Struthio camelus: one gene and its partner. The protein of the gene in region 1 purifies or fractionates together with the protein of each later gene. This does not show direct contact. Links are inferred from orthologs where the notes say so. Each region holds a gene or a part of one and is shown on either strand. Other genes may lie near its edges.

Region 1 (14,851 bases):
TACTTGAATAAATCTTGCTGCCTCCTCATCTTGCTACCCCTGTTGGCAAGGTCATGACTCCTGAGAAATACGTTGAGGATGTCCTTGCTCCATCAAACAGGGCAAAGCGGGTCAACGCAGCAGGAGCCGAAGGTGGTACCCACAAGGTGGGTAGGGCTGCTTCAGCTAACACATTTCTATTCACTCCTTTGGGATCCTGAACTGGCTTCCATCAGTTTCACGCCTCCTCTTCAGTAAGCACTGTTTTTGGGTGATTGATAGAAATGCTCTCACCATGCGACTGTGTCATCATATGGTCCTGGAATGGCTGCCAGGTGTCTAAAATTTCCATATTTGGAGTGGGTAGCTGCCCTTCACCCATGGGACACAAAATCCTGTTGAAAAGAAGTGCACCAGCAAGCTTTGGAGCTAGCCAACCTCCAGCTCATACTAAGTGGTGGAAAACCACTTTGGGATAAGGCAACCATCAGTGGAGCTCTTTATTCAGGTAAGTCATATATTAGCAATATATGTGCGTGTGAATCAGCAACATACCTGAATGACAAGGTGGGCAGGGCTCACCATAGGAATTCCCTAAGCGCAGTGAAACAGCAGACAGCATACAGGGAGAAGACAAAAATAATGCAGACCGCCCATTGTACAGCATGTACAACTATAATCCCTTGTGATTTACAGTTGATAATGCTACAGGTTTTATCGATCACTGGAGAGAATGTACGGACGCTGTAGCTGGCCACAGACCTGGGCCTCCCTCCGAAAGGCACCGCTCGGTTAAACTACAAAGCAAAAGACAGGGTGCATATATTAGATCCTGGTGAAAGAGTAAGTGAACCGTCTGGAGAGAACACATGGACCTTTTACCTTTTCAAAGCAGGAGAGGTAGCAAATGGTATTTTTAGGTATTATATTTAGGCCATAAGGACGATTAAGGGATTGGAGCACCCCTCATAGGAGGAGAGGCTGAAAGAACTGCGACTGCTCAGCCTGAAGAAGAGAAGGCTCAGGAGTGATCTGATCAATGTGCATAAACACTTGATGGGGGGGGGGCATGTAAAGAGGACAGGGCCGGATTTCTCAGTGGTGCCCAGTGACAGGATGAGAGGCAATGGGCACAAAATGAAGCACAGCAAACTGTCTGAACATAAGAGAACACTTTTTTACTGTGAGGGTGGTTGAACACTGGCCCAAGCTGCCCAGTTTGTGGAGTCTCCATCCCTGGAGATACTCAAAACCTGGCTGAACATGACCCTGAGCAACCTGCTCTAGGTGACCCTGATTGAGCAGGGGGCTGGTCTGGACAATCTCCAGAGATGCCTTCCAGCCTCAGCTGTTCTGTGATTGTGTGCGCTCACTTCAACAACAGGTAGCTCTGGAAAAGATCAGTAGACCACAGGGAACGAGTATCAAGTGTTGGTAAGCACGATAAAGAGTAGCTGTTAGCACAGTCAGGAGAATCCTGTTGAGCATAATTAAGGTGTAGGGAGAAGATAGTAAAGCTTTCCAGATTTAAACTGGATTCTTGGCTAAGAGACTGGTTATTCTGTAAAATGAAGTTAAGATTAAGGCTCATTAGAGTAGATGACTGGGTGAGTAGCTTTTAGAGAGATCTAGAGCTGGGGGAGGATAGCTATTTAATTGGGAGAGGGCTAGAACCTAAAATGAGGAAAATGAGGTAGTAAGGTTAGATCTCAGAAGTACTAGATAAATGGTGTCTATCTTGTCAGGAGGCTCTTTAAATATGATCTGATTTAGTAACTAAGATAACTGAAGGGTATGTGATCCTTACCATCCTAGGCCTAGGAAGCTGAAAGGGGAAGGGAGGAGACGTGTAGAGTACTTGTAAGGCTGCGGCTGCTTGGGGCCTGGTGTGTTTTATAGCAGTAACTTGTGAAGCTGACTACTTTGTTACTGCATTAACAGAACATTGAATTTTATTTTTGTCAACTTTGAGTCTTTTTAACTTGTGAACAGATAGCCCATTTAACATGTAACCCAGCAGAGCTCTCAACCTTGGAGATGGATGCTTGTTTGTACTGTAGTGTTCCCTTCTTGTCTCAAAATGCCACAATCTGAAATTCTGGTATGCTTCTAAATGTTGCACCATATATAGGTGATAACTTGTATTCTGTATTTGATAGTAGGTTTCCATGTAAGATACCAAACTCAGCAAAAGGTTTCTCAAACTCTGTGGTGTACCGGATAAGCTCCATTGCTCAGAATATAAATCTGAGCTATCCATATGGACAGAAAAACTAAAATGAGAACATATGTTGGAGACAGGTATGCTGTAATGAGACCATATTTTATTGAATTCCACATTTCCACTCAGGATATAGAAACCACAGGCAGAATGTTTCCTGCTAGTGCAGTAACCACAGATAAAACTCAAATCAGTAAATACCATAGAGTCTGATCCATTATGCTTTACTTTATTTCAGTGCTAGTGCAATTCCATATAAACTAACATACACACATAAACAAAAGCCAGAGTATTTTCAGTGGTGAGTCAGACACCATATCTCTAGTATATGTAGGATTTAGGAGCGTGCTTATTGTCATTATTCCATCTCCCGCCACAGTTGCAGGATCAGAACTTCAAAGCAGAGCCTGCCAGAGGAAATTGTAGGAAATGTTTGCATTCCAGCACAATTCCATCATCCAGGGGCCTGTAATGGTGAAAGCACCCTTCGGCAGACGTTGTTTGTAAGGTCAGGTTCAGTATTCATACACGACTGTCACTCATTTCAGGTTTTGCTTTTTAATTGTAGGTTATAACTCTCTTCAACCCTGTTCTGCATAGCTGATTCCATGCATACAGGGGCAGATTAGGCAACTCTTGAGTGCCTCTCACTCATGACAACTCATGCCAGCTGGGAACTTCTTTTAGCATATAGTCTCTCTCCCCAGCCATCATCAGTTTTCCAAACATCAGGGAAAACATGCTTGCAATATCCCAACGAGGCAAGTAAAGCACTGACTAAAGCACAGAGCAACCAATTCTACTTTCCGCTAAGGCTTCCTTATTCTATTTTGGCAGGATATATTTACGCTTCTCCAGTTAATGTCTCTTCACACTTTTGAAAACATCATTAAGAAAGACTTAAGTCTCCTTAGTTGAATCTACACTAAGTGACCAAATTACACAATTGTCCTTTGTGATCCTCTAAGAATTGAATCCAGGTGTCCCGAGAGTAAGAGGCTCTTCTGCTCCTACTGGCTATAAAAATAAATTGTATTGATTTTTTTAGTTTTTTACTTAACTCCTAAGTTTTCTTCTACATAATTTTGAATAATAACATTTGCATATTTTCCCATACAGTCAATTCAAATTATATACCTCAACACTATGGTTGTAACATTTGAAACTGAAGTTCAATTTGCACTTTCAGAAGGCATTTACTTTTTCATATTCTACGCGTTTTAATCCAGAAGAAACTACATTATAATTCATACCTAATACACTACTACACCATCTATGTAATGCGTGTGGGTTTTGCTCTCATAAATACTGTTTGGTTTACTCATTTTTCCCTTTTATTTATATTTAGAAAATACAAGTTCAAGCTCCTAAATACTATACTGTGACCCCTAAATGCATTTGATTTATTAGTCCTGTCAGAATACTTTCTAAAAGCGTGGTACTGTGACCAAGGGAAACAGGATTTCAAACCAGTTAAATAAACCGGAATTCTGCCTTCCACTTTAGTGGAAATACAACTTTGCTCCGGTTTCTTGGCATCCTTTTGGTACTGTAGTGATGCTACCAACTATTCCCGTTTTATGCTTATTAATTTGATTTTTGGGTGTGACTACAGCCATTTACTAACCCTGCAATGAATTCTGCCTTACATGCAAAGAGTTATTAGGTATTACTTCAAAGCTATACAAAGCCTTGGAAATGATTGACCATGAGCAAGCTTCCCTTATTCCTTTCGCTCACCTCTCAACCTGACTTGAGTAGGGGAAAGATAGATGAGTCCTATTAAGCTCATGTCTCCCCTTTCAATACAATGACAACTTATATTTGTCATAAGTGGTATCAAAAAAGGTGCAGTTTGTGGAGCCCATATAACGTTCATATAACGAGTTCATATAACGATACATTAACAAGATTTTACAGAGCACTGTCACTTCAGCTGCCACATGCTGTTCTTCTCCTAAAAAATGTGATCAAGTTGAAGTGCATGTAAAACATCTGTGTAGATGCAATATGATAGCGACCACTTCTGCCAAGGTGAATTCAACCCCTACAGACTCTGGTGACAGGCGGTTATTAATGGTGACTACATTCAACATGTGATAGCTGTGCTTAAAGGGGAAGAGGGTAGAAGGAAAGGTCTGCTGCCACAGGTGAAAGCACGAGTCTTGCTTTGGCCTGAGACAGAAGGAATGAAAACAGGAGTTGCTGTCTCGAGGCAAAATACCTTCAGTGTCTTACCCCTCTCTGGACGATCCAGCCCAGAACTTAGCAGGATCCGAAAGTCAGAAACCCCCGCATCTCCCAGACATCAACTGATGTGTTTCTCTTCCCCATGGGGACAATCTACAGATGTTTTTTTCTGCCCTGAATTCTGTTCCTCTGTAGTAGCTCTTATTAAAATCCTGATGAAGCTGTCTCCTTTGTAAGATTTAAATGTGTGGTATGATAATACTCAAATAAGCCCCCAAACAATTAAATGGCATACTTCAGCCCATCCTCCTCACATCAGTGCCTTCGAAAAGGTCAGGTTTCTGTTGTTTGCAGCCCTTTTACATATTAGCACATAAAATCTTTGCCTTTATTCTTCTGGATTCGTAGGAAGGACAACAGATGATGAACATTTTCAAAGGCCCTGACTGAAATGTGACACCATCTCTCCCTCTGAGAAGAGCTTCAAACTCTAAATAAATGATTTGGAACAGGTATCTATGGCAGGAAATGACCAGACAAGTAGGAAGGGAAGACAGGAGACGATAGCCTTTATTTAGAGGAAGGAAGTCTTACCATATAAAGAGGGATTGCTTGAATTATGTTAAACGCAAATTTAAGTAATTTTTTTCTCTATTACGGTTGCCACCCTTGAGCTGATCAGGTTCTTTTTCATAACGGCAAGTCTCAGATGTGGGTATTTGACCGTGTAGTTAGCGTGGGTACAAATGAATGAGCTGCAATAATGTAAATTGAATTATCCCTGTGAGGGAACAGAAGCTGACACCTCTAAAGGGATGGAAGCAAACTTTTCTTTCTTTACAGACTCTTACACGAACTCAAAAGATAAAGAAAAGCATTGATGTGTGTGTCAAACACACAACGTACAACTGCTGTGAACATAAGCTTTCCATTCAACATTCCAGCCGCCAGCTCGAGACTAAAGTGACCTGGTTCTGATCAGACTACAAAATTGCTATTAACCTAAGCGTAAAAGCTGTCAAGCACTACTGAATTATCTCTGTTTTCTATTGCCTTATTCTAAACTTCATATCAATAACAGGCCAGAATTTTACAAACCGCCCCCCTGTTGTCAAAGGGGGCAGCCCTGATTTCTTTTCAACTTTTAACTCAAGCTTGGATGGGCTTGGGTTTGTTTTCTGAGAGGTGGTGGTGGTTTGGGGGGTTTAGTTTTTACTTGGCGCTGTTCTGCAGTCTGACTCACCACGTGGCAGCACCAGCAATTTCACCCGTTCAAAAGAGAGGCTGCGGCAAGGGCCAGCACGAAGAGCAGCAAGCAAGGGGAGGGCACAGCTGCTGCTCCTGGCAGCGGTGGTGGCTCGGGGGGATCGTTCCGCGATGACCTTTTACGCCAGATATGGAGCTCGCTGCAGCACCGGCTGAAGTCCGATTCATTATGGAGCACGGCCTGTCCATTACTTGGCACCTCTTAGCCGGCAGGCAGTCACGCTTACAGAAATAAAGCGGGACGAAAACACGCTGCCGAGCAGAAACAGAAGTAGCCTGTTTGCCACATCAGTGTGCGCACCCACGTGCTTTCATGCATGCGCGCACACGCGTTTTTTTAGGTACTAGCACTCCTGCCCCATCATCCCCTTGCCCCCCACCCAAATAAAACGACATTAACCTTTATCGGGGGTGAAGCAAAGCACGTGACTTACGCCCATCAACACCTGGAAAGGCTTTAGGACAGAGTCGGTGGGCAGGGGGGCGAGGCCTGTGGAAAACGAAGCGGCCCTTCTCAGGTAGGGTTGGGAAAACTTGGCAGCGAGGCGCCCAACGCGGGCGTCCACCTTCGGCGGCGGCGGCGGCTCCGGCCCGTCGGGGCTGCGCGGCTGCAGCCAGGCCGCAGGCCTGGGGGGGATCTCAGCCTGTATTTCAGCCAGCTGTCCGCGCCCCAGCTAATAGCTGAGGAAACGGCGAGGAGAACAAGCCCTTTCCCCGGCTCCGCTGGCAGCTCTGCCCTCGCGGCCTGCACAAAGCACGGCTTGCCCGCTGCCAGGCAGCTCCCACCCACGCAGCCCACCCCGCCGCCGCGCACACGCCACCCGCTTCCGCAACGGCTCCCGGCGCCCCGCTTTCTCGGCCGCTGAAGCCTCCAGCTCCTCAACCCGCACCTCCGACCGCGGTCTTTACGTCGTCCCCGTCCCTCTCTTTCCCCCCGGTACTGCCTTCCCGACGCGCTGCGCCGCCCGACCCGCGGGCCTCCCCCCCCCGCGGCGCCACCCGCCACCGAGCCGGGCCGCGGCTCCGCCCCGCCTCCCAGCCAGGCCCCGCCCCCTCCCGCTACCTGCAGGCGGCGCCGATTGGCCCGGCCCCGGCCGCGGCCCCGCCCGCTGGGGGTGACGCGCGCGTAGCCTCGGCTGGGGCGGGCAGGTAATGGCTCGGGCGCCATGTTGTGCGAGCGGAAGCCGGGTGCGAGCGGCGGCCCGGGTGGGAGGGCGGAAGCGCGGCCCCGCCTGGCGGCGGGGAGGGGGGAGCGCGTGGGGGAGGGGCGGGCGGCGGCAGCTCGGCGGCCGTCCCCGCAGTCGCTGCTGCTGCCGCCGCCGCCGCCGTGAGAGCCGGCCGGGGCTGTCCTGGCAGCCGGGGCGTCCCGCGCCCGCCCGAGGGCTCGCTGCCTGCCTCGTCGCGCCTCGCCGCCGCCGCCGCCGCGGGGGGGTGGTGTGGGGAAGCGGGGCGCGGGGGCCGCGGGCGCCGGGCGGGGAAGATGCCCCTGGCGCAGCTGGCGGACCCTTGGCAGAAGATGGCTGTGGAGAGCGCGGCCGAGAGCAGCACGGAGGTACGGGCGGCGGCGGGGAGCGGCGGCCAGGGCGAGAGCCGAGCCCTGGGGCGGGGGGCCGCGGTGCCCCGGGGGTTAGCGGGGCGTGTGGCGGCGCCGGTGGCGTGTGAGGGCGGTCGGGGCAGGGGAAGTTGCGAAGGGGCCGCGGACGGGGCGGGGGGGGGAGGCGGAGACGGGAGCGCGGCTCCCGCCGCTCTTCGGGGGACGGAGAAAGTTTCCCGCGGCGGGTGCGAGGGGGCAGCGAGCCGCCGCCGGGGAGGACGGGAGGCGGGGGGGCGGTTGGGGCTCCCCCGGCGGCCGGGGCTGGGGGACGAGCGCGGCGGCGGCGGCCGCCTCGTGCGCGCCGCTCCCTCCGCCGGGCACTGACTCACGGCCGGCGCCGGCCGGGGCTGCCCCGCGCCGCGGGTCACGGCCGCCGCCGGCTCCCTCCCCTTCCGCCCGCCGCCCCGGGCAGGGCGACCAGCGGCTCCGGCGGCGGCGGCGGCTTTTGTTTCGGCGCCGTGCCCGTTCGTCGGGAGCGGGTTTCCCCCTGCCCCGGGGCGGCCCTGCCGCCTCCGCACGCACTTCCCGAGCGGCCGGAACCGGCCCCGGGATTGAGGGGGAGGGGAGGGGAGGGGAGGGGGGGCGGTCAGCCCGGTCTCGGTCCTGGCCCTGGCCTCGGCCGCGGGGCTTGGCCGGCGCCGGCGTCACTTTGCCGGCGCCCTCGCCTTGCCGCTGCTCCCCCTGCGGCGGGGAAGGGTTGTCCCCGCCCGGGTGCCGCTGTCCCCTTATCTAAGCAGGATGGGGTTGTGTCTCTGCAGTTTCGCAAGCGTTTGGGAAACCGCACGGGCGCTTCGCATTGGTGAAGCTCGGTGCTCGGCCGCGTTTTGTGGGAACATCCCTGAGATGCAGCCCAGTGCGGTTTCCTGCTTTTGGTAGTGGGGAGTTGGTGTTGCGCTCGTGTCACCGTCGGGCAGGACGCGTGTGAGCTCTTCCAGGCTGAGATAATGCCAGGAGCTGGAAATTAGCCTCGCTTGCACCCTGAGATCGGGGGCTACGGACGCCTCCAGTTATTTCCAGTTCTTCTTTACCGAGTACTTGCTGCTCTGTTGGTTTGGATCTACGTAAACACCACACGTACAGAGACAGTTGTGCTTGCTTCGTGGTTTCCTAGTCATCTGCAATGTACACCCTAGTTGACGGTCAGACTCCCATCAGAAAGGAAAGGAAGAGCTTCCTCTGATGGTGCAGCTTGTACCTGAATCTCCTCCAGCTGATACGCAGCCAGTCTGCTCCAAACCATGATTTTGAACAGTGTGGATTCAGGCCAGCCCACAAAAATTAGTTTCAAGGTTAGGGCTTATTCCTAATGAGTGAAGCAGAGAAAGATAGACCAAACTGAAAAGTTTCTGCAGTATCAACGTGTTTGTCCTCTTGATGTTTGTCTTCCTTCTGCTTAAAGTGACTGCATCTCTGGAAGTCAGAAGAACCTGGACTTCTGATCTAACAGACGCATCTAACTGTCTTAAATTCTTGCTGTTTACTGTAATTTCCCTCAGTGACTTTTGAAGTGGTGCTCTTAGATGAGTATTTTTTAGTGAAGAGTAATTGGAATAGTGTGATGCTCAGGGGAGAGAAGTGGCAAGGAAGGATTTTTCTGCAAGGCCGTTTACACTAATGATTTAGAGAATACATCTTAACTGTTAGTTCAGTCTTCCTTGCTCACTGCATGTATTCTATGCGTCTTGAATAACGCTAGGGTATATATACTAGAAAGGTAATAAAACCAGATAATTTGAAAAGTACCTATGTATGTGGTTAATTATGCTCTTTTTATTACTTCCTTGTTTTAGTGCACTTTAGTTCCATGATTTGTTTTTAAACTACTGTCATAGATTTCTTGAAACTGGTGTATTCTACCTCTTCCTAAAGTGAGGGAGGGAGGAAGGAGTAAAGCACTTGCATTGTCTTGAGTCTACAGCAGTGTGTCATAAGGCATCTAAAAAAATTCACTGGGAACACTAACAAAACATGAAACAGCAACTGAACTGACAGGTTTACAAGGTAAGGTCCTAGTCTAAAATAAATATCCAGTGCTTGAAAAGACCAGATTGCACCTGTAAAAGCTTTTCCTCAAAAGGAAAAGGTAGACTTAAAGAAGTTGCTTACCTGAAATGAGTTTTTAAGAAGAGAAGATGTTTTAATGAAAATTGATAAATTTAAGTCAAATAAACAAATGACCTAAGTACATAAACAACTCATGCGAATTGAAAATGTAGTCATCTGCAGCATAGCAGTATCCTAATTACAGACCCTATCCTGCAAGCACATCCTTGGGCAAAGATATTTTTTACATCCTCATTGTGCTTTCAGTCATAGTTTGATAATAATAATGTCTTCAGCAGTAATAACAGGGTAAAGAGTTTCCACTAACATGGCAGATTTGCTGATGCATTTTTTTGTAATGCTGTGTTATCCACATGGAATCATGGAATTAAGAGCTTTAAAACTTATCTCAAATCCTTTTTTGTAATCTTAACTCTGAGTTTTCATATTGGATTAATTTTCATTTTTTATTACCTGGATTAAATTTTTAGGACTATGCAGTCCTGTACTCAGTTTCCTATTGGCATCACTGAGGAGATGAATTATTGTGATACATGGGCGTATTCTATGGGAGGAGTAAATACCTTTAACTAGCATTACTCTGAAAGACTACATTATTAACGTTCAACAACTGTTGTAACTTAGTGCGAGTATAATCAACAGATCTGTAGAACGTGGTCTTTCTTAAGAAATAATGCAAGTAGTTTTTTAGATGTGACATGGATTTATAGTTTTCAGAGGTAAGCTGCAGGAGTTCTGTTTCTACAAGTACAACGGAAATATGTCGGTAATCTCCATTGCGTCTCTGACAGCTTTTTCAGTGAACAAAGTTATTGGACACATTATCTTAAAGTTTGCATATTGAAGTGTGTGGGTATATACAAATATTTTAAAAATCTCCTATTTTAAATCATGGCACCTTTAAAGCCTGTGGAATTGTGGAATCAATTTTATTGATGCAGGGTCTGTCTGATTCAAGACCTGCAACAAAGCATGGATCTGTTTTTCATGGTGAGAGTGTGCCCATTATTCCAAGACAACTGCTTTCAAGCAAATTAAACATTGGTGATTTGAATGCCTGAATAACTAGCCTGGTCCTTTGATTTGTATTCCCAGCAGTGCATATTAATGTTGACTGGAGGAGAATGAATAGTTATGACAGCCAAACTGTAGACACCAATATGTTGAAAGAGTTGGCTATTGTAAAGGGTTTTCATTTGTTAGGTGTTGTGGGAAGCATTTGTGCTATTTCTCTTTAGGAGTTTTAATTTAGGTGATCTAAATTGGCTGTGGAGGAAGTTCAGTTTTTTCTACTGCTCTTAATAGTGGATTCATGATTGCCTACTTAGGTGATTACATATATGGTATGAATTTCCCCTCTCAGAACTCCTTATTTTATATCCTGTATCGAGAATTATCTGAACCTTGCACAAGACAATGGTTGGTGCCAACGTTTAACAGACAGGAGAAGTAAGAAAAAGTCATGCTGATGCTTATAAGAAGCTGGTATATTGTAACTTTTCCGTTGTAATTCGATTCTAATTTCAGTATGACATGCTTTAAGTCAATGTATGCTTCTGGTATGGAATCTGAAATTTATTCGATTTCTTGCCACCTTAAGCTATAAAATTCCGGTTGCAATTACATCCTTGCAGTCTATGCTACACAATGTAATCAGTGTTCTTGTGTAGGAACAAAGGTTATATTTACAGTAATTTCTTGAATAGTCAGAACAGGGAAATGGTCAGAAAACCAAAGTAGAATCATCTAAATGGGGTGTTATATGTGGATTAGGAAGGCCATTCATTATGTCACCATTATACTGAGAATTTTTGTGCCTCTCCTTGCAGCACTCACCAATTGCTTCTGATACATATCTATTGTCATACGGTGCTGTATCCTGAGGTTTTATTTTTGCAGATACATTAAGTGAAATTTTGCTTACCTGGTAAAAATGGACTTTAGCGATTCAGTTCTTATCTATACTAAGAAGTGTACTCTGCATTCAAATAAATGGTGTGACAGAAGAGAGTTATGGATTTTGATGATTCCATCAGTAAAACAGATGTTATATCTATGTGAATACTGTTTTCAGAAACATACCATCTGCAAGAAAGATGTTTATCTTTGGGTTTTTTGGTTTTGTTTTTTCCCTCGGTACCAGCTTTTCAGATCCTTAATGGTACAAATTTACCTCTGATGTTTTTCAGTTAACGCATTCCTAATAAATATGACCTAGTATTAGTTTCTTGATATTGATGGGGGGTGTCACGCTGCTTGGTGAAGTACCTTTGGACAGTGTTCTGTTTCATAGTTCTTGGTTTCCTCGTGTAAGATGTTGAATTTAGCAGTTCTGAGCATGTAATTGTGTTGTTCATTATAGCTTATGTAATATTTCCCACAACTGGATGTTTAATAGAGATGTAAATAGATTGAAATGTTTGAAGGAAAGTTTGTCTTCTCTATGTTAATTGTGATGCATTATACTAACTGTAGCTGGTTTTCATTTAAAATGAACCATTTATCACTGCGAGTCTAAGGTGGCTATTTAATTATTTCTGCACAGCAGAATATTAGCTTTAATGGTTAACTGATCTTGGCAGTGGGCAAAGCTGTCTGCTTTAGGTGCTTGTTCAAGATATTTTTTTTTGTCTTTCAAATATAATTCATAGCCATATTCCAGCTGTAGAACTTTTTGCTCTTACTTGAAGAGTTCTTTAAAATTTGCAGGTTTTTTTTCCTGTCTTAATGACTGCTGAGAGGCTGGATAATTTAATTGGCAAAACTGGAAAAGCGAGAATCTCTTCAAGGAATTTTTAAGGTCAGATGAACTAACGCTGTAGACTGTTGCAAGTATTGTACTATTGCCCTTGCATACCTAATATTGTATTCTCTCTTGCCTCTGTATTGTCTGAGATAGAATTTAAATGCTTCACCCATTGGAAATGGGGGGGAGGGGGAACTCCTGTTTAGCAGATGGGGAAAATGAGACTCAGCAGCTTGGTGACTCCATCTAGCATAATTCATAGGGTCTGTTCTAGAGCTAGGAGATCAGCTCTGATTTCCAGGGACCTACTCCAGTGGCTCAACCACAAAGTTACTGCTAGCTCATTCTTATCAGTAACAGTTACCATATGTCCTTTTTGATGCAAGGAACCCCCTGTGGTACGTTTAAAGCTCCACTTACTCTTTTTGGAGGAAATGGGCCTCTCTTTTTTGGAATTTGAGTGAAGCAAACTGTGGCATGTGTCTTCTAACATACATTATTATTGGCTAAGTCTATTTTCTAACATAACTTTTAAGAATGAAATCCTGTTAACATTTAACTTCACACATTAATTTATTAGGCCGGTTCATGTTTAAGCGTACACAGGAGATGTAAAGAAAACTGTTTTGTCATGATTTTAAATGTCCGTCAAAACATAGCTTTGAAAAGTAAATCTTCTTACTGCTTTGTTTCTTAAAGCCAGACTACTTTGTCCTGGAGGCTCAAAAGTTAGTGGTTTCTTGATGTAATTGGAACATGATGAATATTATTTGGGTTGTTTGTTACATAACGTGGGTGCCAAAGTAAGTTACTATTAGAACTTAGACCAACAGATTAAGGGTTTTTTTTTGTTTTAATTTTGTTTTTTTTTCCTCCTCCACTTAGTAAGGAGTCTTCCACCTCTTGTTTTCCAGCAATCAACAATCGTTGTATAGTCAGCTTTGGAAACATTGAAGTTTAGGAAATAGTAAAGTTACTGTACAGCTTAGTATCGTCTTAGCAGAATTCATTAAAACAGATAAATGAAAAATTGCATGTAAATGGACAATGCTTTAGTGGACCTCAATGTTAAACTACAATCCTTGTCATTTATAATAAAAAGAGATTGCAAGAGACCACGTCACGTCTGAAAACACTTGTCCGCTTTGTAAGGAATGCGGTTTGCAGCCTTGCTGCACACTGACTCACGGTGTGAGGGCCTGGTGCGCTCCTGCAGGGTGCCCAAGGCCCTGTACAGGGAGCCAGGCAGGCAGTCACTGCATTTCGGTGCACCCTGGGATTGCAGAAGGCATCGAGCATACCTGCCTTCCCGTGAAAACGCAGTCTTACTAACAGAGTTTGTTTGTTATCAGGTGCTAGAGTGACTCTTAGGATAATGTGTGCAAGCACAAGAGGGAGTTTCCTTTATTTTCAGATGTGTTTCAGGGGTCTGGATATATTGAAGTGGTTTCTGCATGTATATTTGTTCTTCCTTCTTGGAGCAGAGGGACAGAGAATAGGAGGTGCATTTTTTACTAAGGCTGCTGGAGAATTGTGTTGAGTGTAATAATTTGCCAGCTGTATAGGTAGGGAACTAAATGAAAGTTTTCTTTACCTTTTTTCTTTCAAGAGCAAGTGAACGTATGTTGTTGAGCTTGTTTTAAGCTACAGAAAGTGGTTGGCCTGGACAAAGATTTTATGATACTATATATCCAGCATCTTGGATATTACCATGGTACTTGTCTGACTTCAAGCTGTGTTAATTCAGAGAATTAAATTGACTGAAAGAGGCAAACTTTTTTTTTTTAAGTTTTGTTTTCTGGCCTGGCTTGCCGCAGGGTTGGACAAACGCCAGTGCCAAGGTAAGCGCAGTGGTGGAGGGTTCTGTTTTTGAGCAGCATCTAGGCTGTATTGTTAAACTAGACTTAGTCATTTACACTGCCACTACCTTCTTATGTAAAAGTAGATAGGTCTTGGGAAATGCCATAGTTAAAGTTGTCCAAATATTCCCTAACTTAAGGGAGCTTGGCTTTATGCCTAAATGATCTGTGTGTCAATGGCTTGTATCTCAGGTTGATTGTTTACAAAAAGCAGAAGTTTCAATGTCCAGCTATTTCTTAATGCATAGCAAAGTCATCTGTCCCCTTAGTTAAAATTTAGAATAAATTATGTGGTATTAATGGATGTGAAGTAACCATGTTTTATATAAAGAAATGCTTGCAGTCATTTTCTGTTTCATAAAAAAACTCTAATTTTTAGTAAAAACCAAAAACTTTGACTCTTTTATACTATTTCTAACATAGCTTATGCAAAATCTATTGAATATACACTACTAAGAGATAACAGTAGAGAAATCTAAGGTGATGTTAGCTCACTTCTGCTACTTACGTGTAATGATAAGCTTATAATCAGGTCGGGATTTAGGTAAGTGCTTTGGATGTGTGTGCCTTCATACCTCAGGAGTTAGGGCATAAGTCATTAATTCAGATCCTATTACAACTTTATATTTTAGTTTAGCACTGAAATAGATTGTGAAAACTCCACTATTGGAGATCTAAGAAGGGGTGGGACATGATGTCTTGTCGGTGACATTTTAGGAATAGCTGATCACGCTTTGGTACACTGAGATATACTGGATGACCTCTCAAGGTCCCTTCAGTCTATTTTCAACTGTTTTTCTATGGATACATGTTTTTATTTTTGTTTTTTTTTCTCCTGAGTAGTTCACTGCTGCCTAGAATAGCAAGTTTGACTGTGTACAGTAGGAATGGCTTTTACCGAATATAGTTCCACGCAGTACCTTGTGTTACTA
Region 2 (14,673 bases), on another chromosome or scaffold:
GGCACGCTCGCATCTCCCACGCGGACCCTTCGGCTCGGTTTTTCTTAAGAAACGGGAAGGCGTGAGGGGCGCCCATCGGCGCGCAGGGGCCCTGCGGCCGCCCCGGGACGGGCGGGAAGCGCCTGCTGCGCCCTGGGACGGACGGGAGGATCCCACGGCCGCGCCGGATTGCGCCCGGGAGCCCGAGAAACACCTCCCGAGACCCCACGTGCTGCTCCAGCGGCTCACGGCGACGAGCCAAGGATGCCTGCTTGGCCGGCGCTACCTGAGCTGACCAGCGCGCGGTTGGGCTCTGCCAGGCTTGTGACGTTAACCTTTAAGCGCAGCCATTTGCTCACGGATTATGCAACCTTTTTTTGTTTTGTTTCTTTGTTCTGTTTTCATTTTTAAACAAAAATTGTACTGCACTGAATGTGCTCATATTTTTGTGTTGTTTACTGTCAGCAAGCAGCCGTGATAAGAGTTAAAAAATCAAAAGACAAATTGTTGCTCACTTTCAGAGTCCAGCGTAAGCCCACATCACGTGCTAGAGCAAGCCTCAGTCCCTGCTCCTGCTAGGAACCTCCCAAACACACATTTAAGGCCCATTTTGAACTACTGTGATTTTCACAGTACATGGAATTAGGCTGTCTCTTGTGGAAAGCTTAAATTAGTCCTTTGAAATCTGACCTAAATTAAAAGAACTAAAACACATTGTTATTGCACCCGGCGAGGGCTCTGAGCGGGTGCTCCAAGGACAGCGTCAGGGCACTATATGCAGAAGCAACTAAATTAGCTACCCAGCAGAACGATAACACACAACTTGGGCAAGGAAAGGTCAAGGGAGAGCTTGCTATTTATCAAATATATGTCTAAACTAATTATTCAGTTCACAAAGTAACCCTTCAACCTATGTGTGCGGTCAAAGCCCTTTTGAAACGTTGGCTATCATCAAAGGACTTCATAGCCTGGGTACACAGAAAGAGAATAACTCCTTTATACACACTGGGGCAGACATTTTTTCTAAATATTTAAAAGTAGAAATTCTCTAAGCTCCCGAGAATAAAAAACATATATGCAAACACTTGATATAAGTGTAAACACTTTGATATAATTCGGAAGTTGACAGTCCCAAAATTCCTGCAGGTCCTGTTGCCGCGCACACGGCTTGCGGCCTCAGATGTTACTACCTATCACTGCTTAAGGAAGAAAACTGCAACCAGTGATAAACACAAGCAGGATCCAGTCCTTAGTGAGTATCCATTATATCAACATTGACATTATCATTTACAGTAGTGCCTCAAGATACTGTCTTCAGTACAAATACTCCTCCATGTATCACAGTAACACCTAATGGTCACAGGTCAGATTCACAGCTCAATTAGTCCATCATTTCACAAGAGCACCTTAGAGAAGCTTGCCACCAAAGAGATCAGATATACCGCAGATAACCAAAAGTAAAATACTTTGATGCAGTACAACTTCTTACATGTATCCTGTATTGTATGGATAGCAGTGCAGTTGATTACCCTATTAGATAAATATTGCTTGTGCTAAAGTACATATTTAACCAGATACTGGGGACAAAATGGTTGCAAATATCCCTAAACTTGTATTGAGCTAAAAGACAAGAATGTATTTCAACTGGAGGTTATATATTACAATCAAAAGAAATAAAAGGCTACAATCTCAATTCCTGTTAAAGTTGCATACAGCTCTCTGCACATTCTGAGTCACTAAGACAATAAATAGTAACAATAAAAGCATCCAACACCAAAACAGACAAAATTTGAGGTGTGTCCGGGCTTTGAAAAGTTTAGGAAAAGGATATACAAACAAGAACGTACCAACAGATACAGGCTCAAAATAGGAGGTTTTATCAAACGTAAGGAACAGATCAAAGTATGTCATAAAAGGTCATAGCCCTGCCGACCTTCTCAGCTGGTATGAAATGTCATAGCGCCAATGACGGTACAGTCAGCGGCCCGACCACCAGTTTATATTGTTGGAGCACCTGACCCTCCAAATTAGCTGTGGCTCAAAAATATTTGGCATTTACAAAATTAAAAAAAAAAGTCAACTTTGTCTTTGAAGAACTTTTTCCAAAAGGTTTTTTGTTTTGTTTTCAGCCCAGAGAGCCTGTGGGTGGCAGTGATGAAACCCAGAGAAGGTGATTGTGTAAAAAATTAGGTTTTTTTTAAAGGGGTTTAACAAAGTACATAAAGGAGGTTTTATTTCCCAAATCTCAGATATAAATCCCACACAATTCCCTGTATTCTACAGCATAAAAGCTCTTATTATACCATTAACTTGGAAGCTTTTCTCTCCTTTCTGGTAATGATTCAGGGTTCGCACATCTGATGTTGTTTCATATAAGAAACATTCCCGCCCAGGGAAGACATTTTAAACCCCTTTTAACAATTTACACTTTGATAAAACCCAGATTCTACCCGCTGGATATTCATTTTGGAAGAAGCATATTTTTAAACTGTGCTTTTTAAAACAATAAAGGTGAAAAGCTGAAAAATCACCAGGCGTAATGTTACCCTTCTCCCTATAAAATACTATACCAAACATGCAGCCACATTCTTTTTGATTTAACACTAAAATTAGGGGACCTCACTGCAAACAGCTAATCTGAAACCAGAATTATTTATGATTTTGTCATTCCTGTGAAAAGCCAAAAAGGCACCAGATGTACAATTAACAAATAAAACAGTAAGTGGTGAGGAGAGTTGGGCTTTTTTGATTCTCATGTTACCTCCAAAAAAAAAAAAAAAAAAAGAAAAGTTTTGCTATCAACAATCTCCGTCAATGACAGATGACAATATTACTATACTTGTTAGACTTTTTCAGGAACGCTTGCTAGAGAGGATGGCTCATCTTCTCTAAATAATTCAGTCTCTGCCATCAATAAAAATGTACTTGGAAAGGATTCTAAAAATGTGCTGGCTGGTGACATCTATTTTTAGAGGCAGTGGGTAGAAACAAATAAGTTTTGCGTGAAAATTTATTAAACAAAAACAAAGCTGTATGCCTGCACATGAATAGGAGAATGTGTAAAGACCAAATTGTCTCCAGAAAGCTTACTGGATCGAAAATGATCTATGGACTACTATATTGTTTTGATAGTTGAGTTATTACAAAAGCAACCACTTCACTGAACAGCAGACAACAGCCTTATGAAGGAAGCCTCCCCTTCCCGCAAGGTGTTCAGAGAGCAGGAAAGGTCCTACAGAAAATAGTATTATCATTCTTAAATACAGCCGACTCATGCTAATAAAAAACCCAGCCTTTTCTTAACTCTTTACACAGGGGAAGCACGTTGGAAAGTTTATGTTAAGGATATATCTACAAGAACATACCACTAGATGAAGGCTCAGAATAGGAGGTTTCATCGAGACATCTCTTTCAATATAACTGTTTCCGTTAGTCTTTGCTTTCACAGGAATAAACTGCTACTCATGCTATTCAAATATAAACATTCACACTCCTACAATTTGCAATCCATAGAGCGCACTGATTGTTTTTGGACGTGAACAACAATAGGGAAATTTATAGTAACTAACTACAAACACCAATAACGCTGAGACACCCGTTTTTACTCTCTTAGCAGAGTGCCCTGCAAAATCAACTCACCAGGACATACAGCGAAAAATTATTGGGCTTTTTCTTTTCCTCTTAACTTTTCAGGTAGTTACAATCACAAAGGCATGCAGCAATACAAACATTTGCATTTCTGGAGATGTCAATATGTAACAGGCATGTAAGCGCAACACACTGGTTTTCTTAAAGATCCATTCCTGAAAACTTTTATACGTACATTTAGATTTTTTACACGTACATTTAGATTATATGAAGTGATGACAAGCTAAGTGAAATCACTGACACCACTCGCTTGCATATGCTTAACCATACGCAGCCTTGCATGAACACGGCCCATGTGTAAACAGGAAAAGTTGGAAAACACGTAACTTTTGAGAACTAATCTGTTACTTGCCTTATATTTACCAAAGCACAGAAAGATGTTGATTTCTATTTCAAAAATTCAGGCATTTAAAATTAATTTATACTGCAGAATTAAGCATTCTAGACTGATTTACCTTCAGGTTCCAACGTGGCGTCTTCAACAACTAAATTAAATGAAGGTCGAGCCAGGGAAAGTCCAGCCATGGTGACCACCACCAGGCATATAAGGCAACCTGAATCCCAGCTGACCATCTTTTTAGTGTAAATTCCTGGTCCATTTCCATATCTCCATGTGGACTTTAATCCCATCTGAACACCTCTACAGAAGCATGGACAGAAAGCAGTGCCTTCGGCCACGATAATACCTCCTCGCTTGGAACGTCTTCTGCTGCTGTGGGAGAAAGAGAGATTTAACAGTGTCAGTGAAACCATCTCAAATGCAAACCAAAAAAACTTCACAAAGCCCCAAACAGGATTGAGAGTGGGAGGAGAAGGATGGGAAAAGTAGTTTTCCAGCCTCAAGAATATGTGAAAAGTGAGTGACTTTTCATTTTCTGTTAGCAGTTTCCATCATCACCTGAGGCGTAACCAAGTCCTCCTTGTTTTCCCCAAATCACTTCTCAGCACATATTTAGAGAGTTATTTTAATGACAGAAAAATATATAGCTTTAAAAAAATAAGAGCATGCACATGTGCAGGCACATAACCTTTAATATTACAAAATTACCACAATTATGCAAATTGTATTCTTGTTACTGTTTGACAGTTTATGTAAGTTTGCCTTGTTTTTCAGTCCTTCACCTAGGCAGTTCTGCAGTCAGCTGAATTTTCAATAATTCAGTAATCTTCTACAAGGAAAACAATTGAAAAATACTCTCTAGGCTAGAAAATCTGGAAAACTTTGCATCACTGCCTGAATTCCAACTCTTCTCTACACTTCCTTCCGCCTAGCTTAGTTCAGTGTCCATTTGAATGTCTGAGAATCCAGTACAGGTAAAAGGGTCCAGTCTTTGCAGCGGTACTTCTTAATTAAAGGGGATTTCAGGCAATTAAAATCCGTATAAAGTTTGATATAGATTGCCGTTTCACAGGAGATCTCCCCAGCATCATTTTCCATCCACACAATGCTAAGCTGCAAAGCACGCTTACCCATGCACGCACATTTCTGCTCATTCTCGCTTGGGGATGCTCATTGATATGTATTTTACAAATGAGGGGGAAATGTTTATTTCATTCACTGCAAAACAGATCATTTAAGACGAAGATGACTGTTCGGTAAATTAGCTATGCGCTGATGGAAAAGAGAGGAGAAAAAACAGCATCAAACTACTTGACACTGCCTTCAGCGTCAGACCCAGTGACCACCACACCAAGATGCCAGGTGTGGGTCTGAAGAGCATCCTCATGCTTAACAGCTTATCCAGAAAATGGCACCTTATTTTCCTCTCCAAAAATAAAAGTGAGTATACCTCAGTGAATGGATAAATCAAGTAACTGCATCAATTGTTCTAATCTGGCCAATGATCAATCTTAAACATGATGAAAGTTAACCCAAGTTTTGAGGGTGCCCATCTTGAAGGAAAAAAAAAAAAAGCATAAAACCTATTTTTCCCTCCTGCCCTCACCCTTAAAAAGAAGAGGGGGAAACAAAGGGATAAAGGAAAGTTTCTCAAAATTCCCTGCCATCTGAATGCGCAGAACACTAGAGCACCTCAACATGCTGTACTCAGAAACAGAGACAAATACTCTCTCCCTCTGTAAAGGCAACCATTAAAAAGCGTACTCAAATTTTATTAGCCTTTAGCTAAGACCTGGTACATACAAACCAGGTACACCGTATTAAGAGCAGAAATGCTGTTGCGGTGTTTTTTCTGGGATACTATACACAATAATTTCTGGAGTCAGTAGAAATGGATATTAGAAGACATAAATAAGACAGTTGGGGAAAAATCATTAATACGTGGTATTTCTAGTGAAGCCATGGTATTTGAAGTCAGTTTTTTTCACCTCAACTAGTATCAGCTCAATGCTCCATCCTCTTTCAGACCACAAGCTAGCAACCACTATTAAATCTTCAGTGAAAATACCACCAGACCACTGCATAAACATTTGTGAAGAGTTCTCTGAACACCTCTTCTTTAAATAAGTGCAGAGCAGGTGTAGAATTGAAGACTGGTTTGTGTTTGGTGAAGGACTGGAGCAAGCCCTCCTGGACACTATCACCCAGATCAACCCTCTGACTCACTGTCTGACAGCCACAGTGCTGTGGCTCAGTTTATCCAGCTGTAGAGTGGGTAAAAATCCCAATTAACAGACTGCATGTAATGCTAATTCAATTTCCACAAATCATCCTGTGAAACCTGATTAAAGCCTACGTATACAAATGCAAAATTTAATCATAATTTCGCAAAAAAGAAAACATACTGGAATGCTAACATATATTCCAGACTCTTTTTTAAACAGCATCAATTCCGTTCACATTTCAGCTGTTTAAGGCTTTTAGGCTACATTAAAAGTGATTTAAAGCATGCATGTGGCTCCTACCATCATACTAAGTCCTGAACTGTAGCACAGGGCTACTTGCCAACGCACCTTCTCACCTGAAGATTTTTGACAGTTTCTGTACCTGAACATTTGCCAGCAGAAAGAAGGGATTCTTCATCCACAGGACAACAGAAAATTTTAAAAATATCTTGCAAAGGTGTAGCAAAGCAAAAATCAGAGCTCTGGGTCCATCCATGGAACCAAAACACCTTCTACAGCCATGATAGTGACCATGGTTCAAGGACTGCCCTTTCCCCCAAAAAAACAGAGTCCAATGAAAAAGAAATGAAACCAAATTCTTTTCATAGTTTAATTGCCACAGTTGCTGGGGGACGATTCTCTGGAAAGACCTCCTGCACTGGATAATTATGTACCTCTATCTCAATGTTTGGAACACAGCCCCAGCATGCTTTTTGGCCTCCACAATTCTGGCTTCCTGACTACAATACCATAATCCCTCCTGGAGTCTCAGACTCAGTGAAAGCCACACGTAGTGTTTATTTTTCCCCTTGAAAGGGAACTCTGTCTCTCTTCTCAGCCTACACTTTGGGGAGGAGTTGTCAGCCTCCAATGATTGATGGCTCTCCTTGCCACTCGCTCATCAAGTCAATTTTCACCTCGTCACATACCTGCCCAAATTTCTGTGCCAAACTGACAAGCATGGGAAAGCAGACTGGTTTGGGAGCCTAACCAAATTCCTCCAAGCTGTACTTCAGTTTAAACACACACACACACACACACACACACACACACAAACAAGTAGTACTTGTTCAGCAGTGGCACTAATTAAATTCAATGCTCCATGTTCTTTTTAATCTACTTGCATTGTTGTTTATAAGATGTTTATCACTCCCCAGGGAGAGTACAATTTGTAGCGTATGTTAACCAAATCAATACATTGCTCATTGTATAACTCTTTAGCATCTTTCTCTACTAGGCACGGAATAGCAAAATCTGAATGAAACATGAATCTTCCCTCCTCAAAGAAAACCCAGATGCCCTAACAACAGCCTAGTAGCTTCATCAGAAAAGTCTAGGTACATGAAGCTTTAAAACTAACTGTTACGCATGTATATAATCACATGTATGAAAAACATAAATACACAAGTGTGTGTGTGTGTATATATACACTCACATATATATCTACATATACATATATAGACAACAAGACTCTTCATCACTGTTCAATCTCCAAGTAGATTTGAGCATCACAGCTATTAAACATTAATTCTGGAGGACTAATGGGAAACGGCTGGCGGCTTCAATACTTTTTCATTGTTCAAACTTCTTTCATTTGCTTTCCAGGACTATCCTGTTTTTCTCAAGTCTTTTGCCACTAAGAGATCAGAAAAAAAAAATCTGCATTTTAATTGACATTCCAGAGAGAGAGAGAAGTCCAGAGGCTGCTGATTGCTGTCTATTCAGCCCAAACAGGCTTTTCAGATGAAAATGAGTAAAGGCTAGTGGAAGATTTACAGGGATTTGGTACAAAGGAGACAATGAAGTTTTAAATGTTGATAGCGTTTCACACCAAACGCATAATGGATCACTGTTTGAACGGGCCGTTTTGCATTTAAATATATATTTCACTGAGGATCTCTTCTTTTCTCCCCCCCCCCCGCCCCTTATCTCAGGCGGGGGCAGTTATGTACCGCCTGGCCCTCTAACCCCGAGCATCGCGGCGGGGCACGGCGGGCGAGGACCTCCCGCTTCTCGGCGCTTTTCCCCGCCTTTGCGCCGGGCTCCGGGCGGCCCGTCGAGGCGCCGGCGGCCGGGGGCTGCGGGGGCTCCTGCGCCCCCGGCCCTACCAGCACCTCTCCGGGGGTCGGGAGCGGGTGGAGGGGGGGGCAAGGTTAAGCCTCCCTCCTAAAAAGCAGCCCGCTAACCGTGTCGCCGTGCCGTCACCGCTGCAGACCCTCCCCAGAGATTTCCGCGCACCAAACGGGCTCCGTTTTTCTGCCAGGCTCCCGCACCCCGAGCCGCAAAGACGGTCAAGTGATGGAAGTGCCCCCCCGACCTCCGCGGAGCCCCGCACCGCAGGCTGCGGACGGAGCCGCGGGGCAGCGCCCCTCCGCGGGCCGCCCCCGGCCGGGCCCGCACCTCTCCGCGGCCCGCGGAGCGGCCCGCCCCGCCCCACCGCCGCCGCGCACCAGGTGCGAGGCCCCCGGCGGCTCCGGCGCCCAGAAGCCGGGGTGGGGGGGGGAGTCCCGCTCTCGGCCACCTTGCCCCCACCTCGCCTTTTGGGGGGGGGGGTTGCATTTGCCTCCCGCTCCCCCCCTCCCCATCCCACCCCGCGCCGGCGCAAACCCAAGCGGGTGCCGTTTACCTGCAGGAGAAAAGCTCCGCGGGAAGGGTCCGCTGCCGCCGCAACAGGCGGGCAGAGGCGAAGCGCGGTGCCTCGCAGCGGCTCGGCGGGACGGGGAGAAACTCCTCCGCGGCCGCGGGTCACTCCGCAGGTAGCCCCGGCGGGGCCGGCTGGCAAGCCCGCAGCGGCGCAGCGGGGCGCATCCCCCGCGGGGCGCGGGCGGGACGCGGCTCGGCGCACGGCTGCGCGGGGAGGCAGGAGCAGCGGCTGGGAAGGCGAGGCAGAAACCGGCCCGACTGCTCGTCCCCTCGCTGCGCTGCGCTGCGCTGCGGCAGGCTACCGCCTCAGAGGGGCGACCCGGCCGTGCCCAGCGCCAGCAGCCTCGTCCCCCGCGCGGGCATCGCCGAGCGCAGCGCCGCGGGTCCGGGTCCGCTCCATCCAGCCTCCCTCCCGTACTCGCCGCAGCTTTGTCAAGCCGACAACCCTCCTCTTTTTTTTTTTTTCCTCCTTTTTTTTTTTTTTTTCCTCCCCTCTCTCTTCTCTGCACACTCCTCCGGCTACCTTCCTCCCTCCCCTGGTCACTCCCCCCGCTGCAACCCGAGCCGTTTCCTGGACGGCGCTGCTCGCCTCTGCCAATCGCGGCGGCCGCGGCGCGGAGCCCCTTCCCCCGCGGCCGCCCGGCGCGGAGAGGAGCGGAGCGGAGCGGTGCTGTGCCGTGCGCTGCCGGAGCCGCCGCGCAGCCAGCGCGGCTGGGCACCGGCCCGGCCCGCCCCCGCGCAAGGGCTGCGCTCCGCGCCCCGGTGTTCCCGGCTGGGCAGAGGGGGCGGCCGTGTCCCCCCCCCCCCCGGGGCAGCTGGGTCGGGGCCGGGCCCGCCTGCGTCCCCTCCGCGCACCGGGGCCACGGCCCGCACCGGCGGCGTAGGCAGGGCAGGACTGGGCTCCTCATGCAGAAATGGTACCAGCACAACATTCCCGGAGAATCTTTCTTGAAGTTTTTAGGGCCATGGCTGGCTGATCCGTAGCCTGTTCCAGCCTGCGAGGGTGATGAGATAACATGCAGTCAAAAAATCACCTTCGTCTCAGGAGCCCTTTTAGCGCAGAGCCTGATTTCAACTGTTTTGGATTCCTCTGACAGTACACCTTTAATAATTCTGTATGTGGTGCCCAAGGAGGGAAAGCTGTCAAAACAGTTCATCAGATCTTATTTGCCTGCACACACAAGATTTAGAACAATGCATAATATTAGCATTTAAAATTCAGTGCAAGTTAAACTGATACTTGCTTAATAAAACATTTGCTTTAGATATCATTAACTAAAAGGTTGCTAATACAGAGTCCGTGTAATGCTTGCTTTGTAGAATCAGCTCGGCAATGAAATCAATAAGCGGCAGTTGCCTCAAATTAAATCAGCGTTGATCAACTTAGTGTTGCTTTATTTAAGCATAGCTCCACTGTACCTTTTTGTTCTGTGCTCTATCAGCAGAGGGGATCTTCAAGGACTGTGACCCCACAGAACAGTATAACTCTGTACATACTTCCAGACAGCAAAAAACCTGAAAACAAGTTTTCTGTAGAGTATGTGCTTACCTCCCAGAAAGTGTTTTCCCACCATCACCAGCAGCAAGGCAGGCTTTGTGAGGGACAGCAGACAAATTTGTAATTGATTAGAAACACATTTTTTTCTTTTTCTTTTTTTTTTTTTGGTTCCTAGAGCCACAGACATTTGAATGTTCTAATTGAGAAGCTGAGATGTCACAGTCAAGGTCCAATTTTCCCAGGTCCAAGCATGTCCATTGCCCATTGAAAACACTGTTAATGCATTCTCACATAAATTATTGTCTAACACAGGAAGCTGCAATACCTTTCCCCATTCATCGATATCTTTGCATACTTTGAAAGAAAAGGAAGCATTCCACTAAAAATGACAAATCAGAACACCTATTTCCAATGTCTGGAAGCACTCGTCAGGAATTATTCTTCTGAGGAATGAAAAGATAGCAGTCTGTCATTAGCACCCTATTCTCTTAAATGAGCCACATTCTCTTAAAAGTGGCCCACAGCAGCCCCACTCCTCAATCTGAGAAAAGCAGAAGCATGTTTGGAATTAAAGGGGGTGGGGGGATCAATTCTGTCATCATATTTAGGCTTCAAGAGATCTCAGTGGGCCCAGGGAGCCTTTCATAGCAGTTAGGCTGCTGAATGAGAGCATAATCTCTTTACAGTTTTTTCCTCCTCCTCTCAAAGTGGCTGGAATCTTTTTTGTGAGCCCTCCTGCACGTGAATGGTGTGGCTAATAAGCCTATTAATGAGGTTCCACAGTGGAGTGTGAATAGGTAAATAAGCCCCAATCTGTTGAGGTTCAGGAGCAAGGGCAGTAAAGCCATCATGAACTAAAGGTGACAGTTTGAACTGAAATAGGAACAACAGCTCCAGGTTTCAAGCAGAAGAAAAGACAGACAAGGCCCACATTCAGAATCCTTCTACCCCCTACCGAGCTCTATTTTCTTTCCCATTCTTCCTCCTTTATAAAATGTCTTGAGTAGTCACCCATTTTTTCAAAAGCTCTTGAGACGTCCTTTTTCATCCTGGCAATGATACATCAATAGGGAGGAAGGAAAATGAGGACACCAATGCTCCTTTGCACCACAAGTTTCAAAAGCCCCGAACAGCGCTGTCCCCTAGCATATGGAAGCGGGGGAGGAGAAGGAAAGTTAAATTGAATCTTTCAGTATTCCCAGCTCTTTGTCACTGCTGTCAGCTGGACTCCTGGTTCCCCCTTCCACACACAGGCGGGGATACAGTTAATGTTCAACAGGGGGCATGGTACAAACGAGGTGGCTCCAGCTGCAGGGGAAGCACAGCTGGGCTCAGCAAAATCTCTGCAGCAGAACAAGGCTCTGTCCCTGGGAGAGTGAAGACTTAACTCATTTCCACCTGGCATCTCAGGGCAAGATGGAAATGTGCCTGACTTCAGACTGCTCCTGAGTTGGATCCGCAAGAGCCCAGCTCAAGCGCTTCTGGAGATGAAAGTTTAACAAAGCAGAAAGAAAAAGGGCTTGCATCCTCTGAGAGAAAAGGTGAGATGGGCAATTAATTCCCATGGATGATGTGGAAAATGTCACCTTAGAAACAAATGAAATACAGGGTTTCTGAGCAACCCTCAGTTCTGATCCGCATAGATTCTCTGACCTTTTATTATATCCTGGAGATATTAACGCAGTCAGGGTCCCATGGAAACCTGTTCCTCTGTGGGAATTCCAGTGAGGGACAAGCCACAGCTCCTGCCACACTGCAGACAGATGGCAAGGTATGCGACAGGTAGGCCACAGGGTACCTGCCGGCAGCAAATTCTCCTACTACCGGTGCTGGACTTGCTCACATGTCATATTTCTATTTGATGAAAAATAGGAATATAATATGGAAGAAAAACAAAAGAAAGAGAAAATGCATGCTTTAAGGCTTTTGTGAGCTATGGGGAAAAAACCTCTAGATCCTAATTTGGCCATGCACATCACCAAGTGCTTAGCTTCTCCATGGAGGACGATGGGAAGCAACATTTCATCCCTATTCAAGCTGTCTGTCCACAATTTTTGCTTGACCGTGCTGCGTACAATTAAATACTTGTCCAAGATGGTTTTTTTTAAGTTCTTCTAAAACTAAGTGCCTAAACCCAGGCTCTGGCAGCCATAATATTTACCTGGTTCCCGAAGTATTTATGGCTCCCTTTCTTGGCAGCTTTGAACTTTTCTTAAGGTGCCAAAATACAGATCATAGAAACACACTTCTGAAAATCTGGTCAAATTTTTCTTTTAAATGATAAGCAAAGTTATTTGATATATCTGTTTCTCAATTTCTTGGGGGAAAGACTTCACATAAATTAATATTAACCCTTTCTTACATAAAAAGGCTGGCTCCAGCTCATGTGAGACTCATGTCACTAGCCTTCACCACGTATTACTACAAGATGCTGCTAAATTGAAAGACTATGATAAAAAATCTTTATTTTAATGTCAGTAGATCCAGTAATTACCCCTAAGTCTGGAACAAGCTGGCTACCAAGTTCTTCTGCACCAAAATCTATGGGGCGGGAGGGAGGTTCCAGCCTGCAAGGGGATAGTTTTACTGAGTGTTTATCAATAATAAAACTCCTTCTCATTAAGCTATAGATTGTGTCAAATTCATTCCTTTGGACTATCAATTTTTTTTCTCCCTGTCTATTACACCACAACAGAATCTTCTAAGAGAAATCACCTTAGCCAGTACTGCCAAGCAGTTGGAACAAAGACAGATCATCTTCACTACTAAGGTAGCAAGCAACGTTTTGTAACGGCATTTGGGGTTCATCACCCTCTTCAGATAGTTACACCCCATAGCCATGTAACCTTTCTGGGTACTCCTCACATATTGTACGTCTTAAGGAAAAGATGCAAAAATGCTTTGTTATTATTATTACATTGTTGCAAGATACATTTAAACAGGAAATGTGCTGTGTTATAATTAGGGTATTGCACTGTGGGATGCTGGACATTTGATGCTGTCTGCCATTCCACGCCAGCTTTCCTACACAGTCTGGGGAAAGTCACTTAATCTGTCTATGTCCAAACTCTCCAGCTATGAAATGAGAATAATAGTTACTTCCTGTCTCCCATCCTTTAGCCATTTCATCTGTTTAGATGGTAAGCTCCTCATCTGTAACCATGCTTTCATGCACTGCTTAGAACAATAAGACACTGATCCCAGCTGGAACCTCCAGGCACTTCCATAATGCAAATATTGAATACTAATTAATCAAAATAAAAGAAAATCCTCAATTTATTATGTATCCACTCATAAAGGAATTGTCACACACTGTCCTTTCCGGGTAGAGCATCTCTGGCTCGAAATTCACTCAGGCACTATGTTTCAGCCTCAAGTACTGGGCCTCTGAGCTCTTAATATTCATTTGGTCCGACTGGACTGCTCTGCTACACTTTCTGTTCTCCAGGCCCCTGAAGTATATTCTTGGGAAAGGATTATGCAGAGATTATGACAATATTTCATAATATTCAGGGTACCTGCCTCAAATTCCCCACACTAGACTATACGGTTTGTAAAGAAAGAGAATATTAAAACCTTTTTGGGCCAAGAGATGAGCCTGGTGCTGTATGTACTCAGCACTCTAATCCACGCTCCCCTAAAGAGCAAACGGGCAGTTACCTGGGGAGAATATCTTTTCCAAAGCAAGGGGAAGTAGTATCCATTGAAGAGTATCTTTTTACAGTGATTCCCCTTAAAAAGGGCCCTAGAGAAACCATATGAATAAAACCTTTTCCTTGAGAGCAGGGCACAGCAAGACAGAGACAGACTTATAAAAATGAGAAGACAAAGGCTGCACAGACGATTTTTCTTTCTGTTACAGATTATATCTCTTGGAGATATTTGGCTTGTTGGCCCATGCACTTTTTGTTTCTGTTTCCAGTTGATTGATACATGCTGGTTTGTTTTACTAAAGCTCTCCTGTCTAATTAGACCAGCCGGGAGTTGTGGCAGCCTCCCATACAACGATACCTCAGATCAGATTTTGCTCTAGTGACACTACAGAGCTCAGGAAGCTTGCTATGACTTTCAGGCACAACCTCAGGGTAGAAGGTGTTAAGTGGGGATTACAGCAGGGTCAGTGCTACAGTTTAAACCCTGGGAGTAGAAGAAAACCAGTAGGCACAGATCCATAACATAGGCACTCCGTTATTCTTTTCGGGTAGGGTCCTGTGTTCAGGCTGTCCTAGACTACTGAATTCCTGCAGACCCCTTCCGCTTCCCACTTCCTTCGCTAGAGTGCCAAGCTTTTACACTTACAGTTTGCTCTTTCAGAGCGCCAGCTGCAGACTCAGACAGAC

What was found.
Region 2: the proteins of RPS6KA3 (region 1) and FGFR2 purify together in Homo sapiens (affinity purification with mass spectrometry; 3 studies listed by BioGRID and IntAct, counting the BioPlex papers as one, with this or other methods). This does not show direct contact. The link is inferred for Struthio camelus from reciprocal best matches to the Homo sapiens genes RPS6KA3 and FGFR2.

The regions. Positions count from the first base shown.
Region 1 is NC_090942.1:136,904,338-136,919,188, forward strand, and holds the start of RPS6KA3 (ribosomal protein S6 kinase alpha-3), read left to right. Parts: upstream 1-7,053; 5' UTR 7,054-7,136; coding exon 7,137-7,208; intron 7,209-14,851. UniProt on the Homo sapiens protein: Serine/threonine-protein kinase that acts downstream of ERK (MAPK1/ERK2 and MAPK3/ERK1) signaling and mediates mitogenic and stress-induced activation of the transcription factors CREB1, ETV1/ER81 and NR4A1/NUR77, regulates translation through RPS6 and EIF4B phosphorylation, and mediates cellular proliferation, survival, and differentiation by modulating mTOR signaling and repressing pro-apoptotic function of BAD and DAPK1.
Region 2 is NC_090948.1:6,143,242-6,157,914, reverse strand, and holds the start of FGFR2 (fibroblast growth factor receptor 2), read right to left. Parts: upstream 6,618-14,673; 5' UTR 6,583-6,617; coding exon 6,575-6,582; intron 4,340-6,574; coding exon 4,083-4,339; intron 1-4,082. UniProt on the Homo sapiens protein: Tyrosine-protein kinase that acts as a cell-surface receptor for fibroblast growth factors and plays an essential role in the regulation of cell proliferation, differentiation, migration and apoptosis, and in the regulation of embryonic development.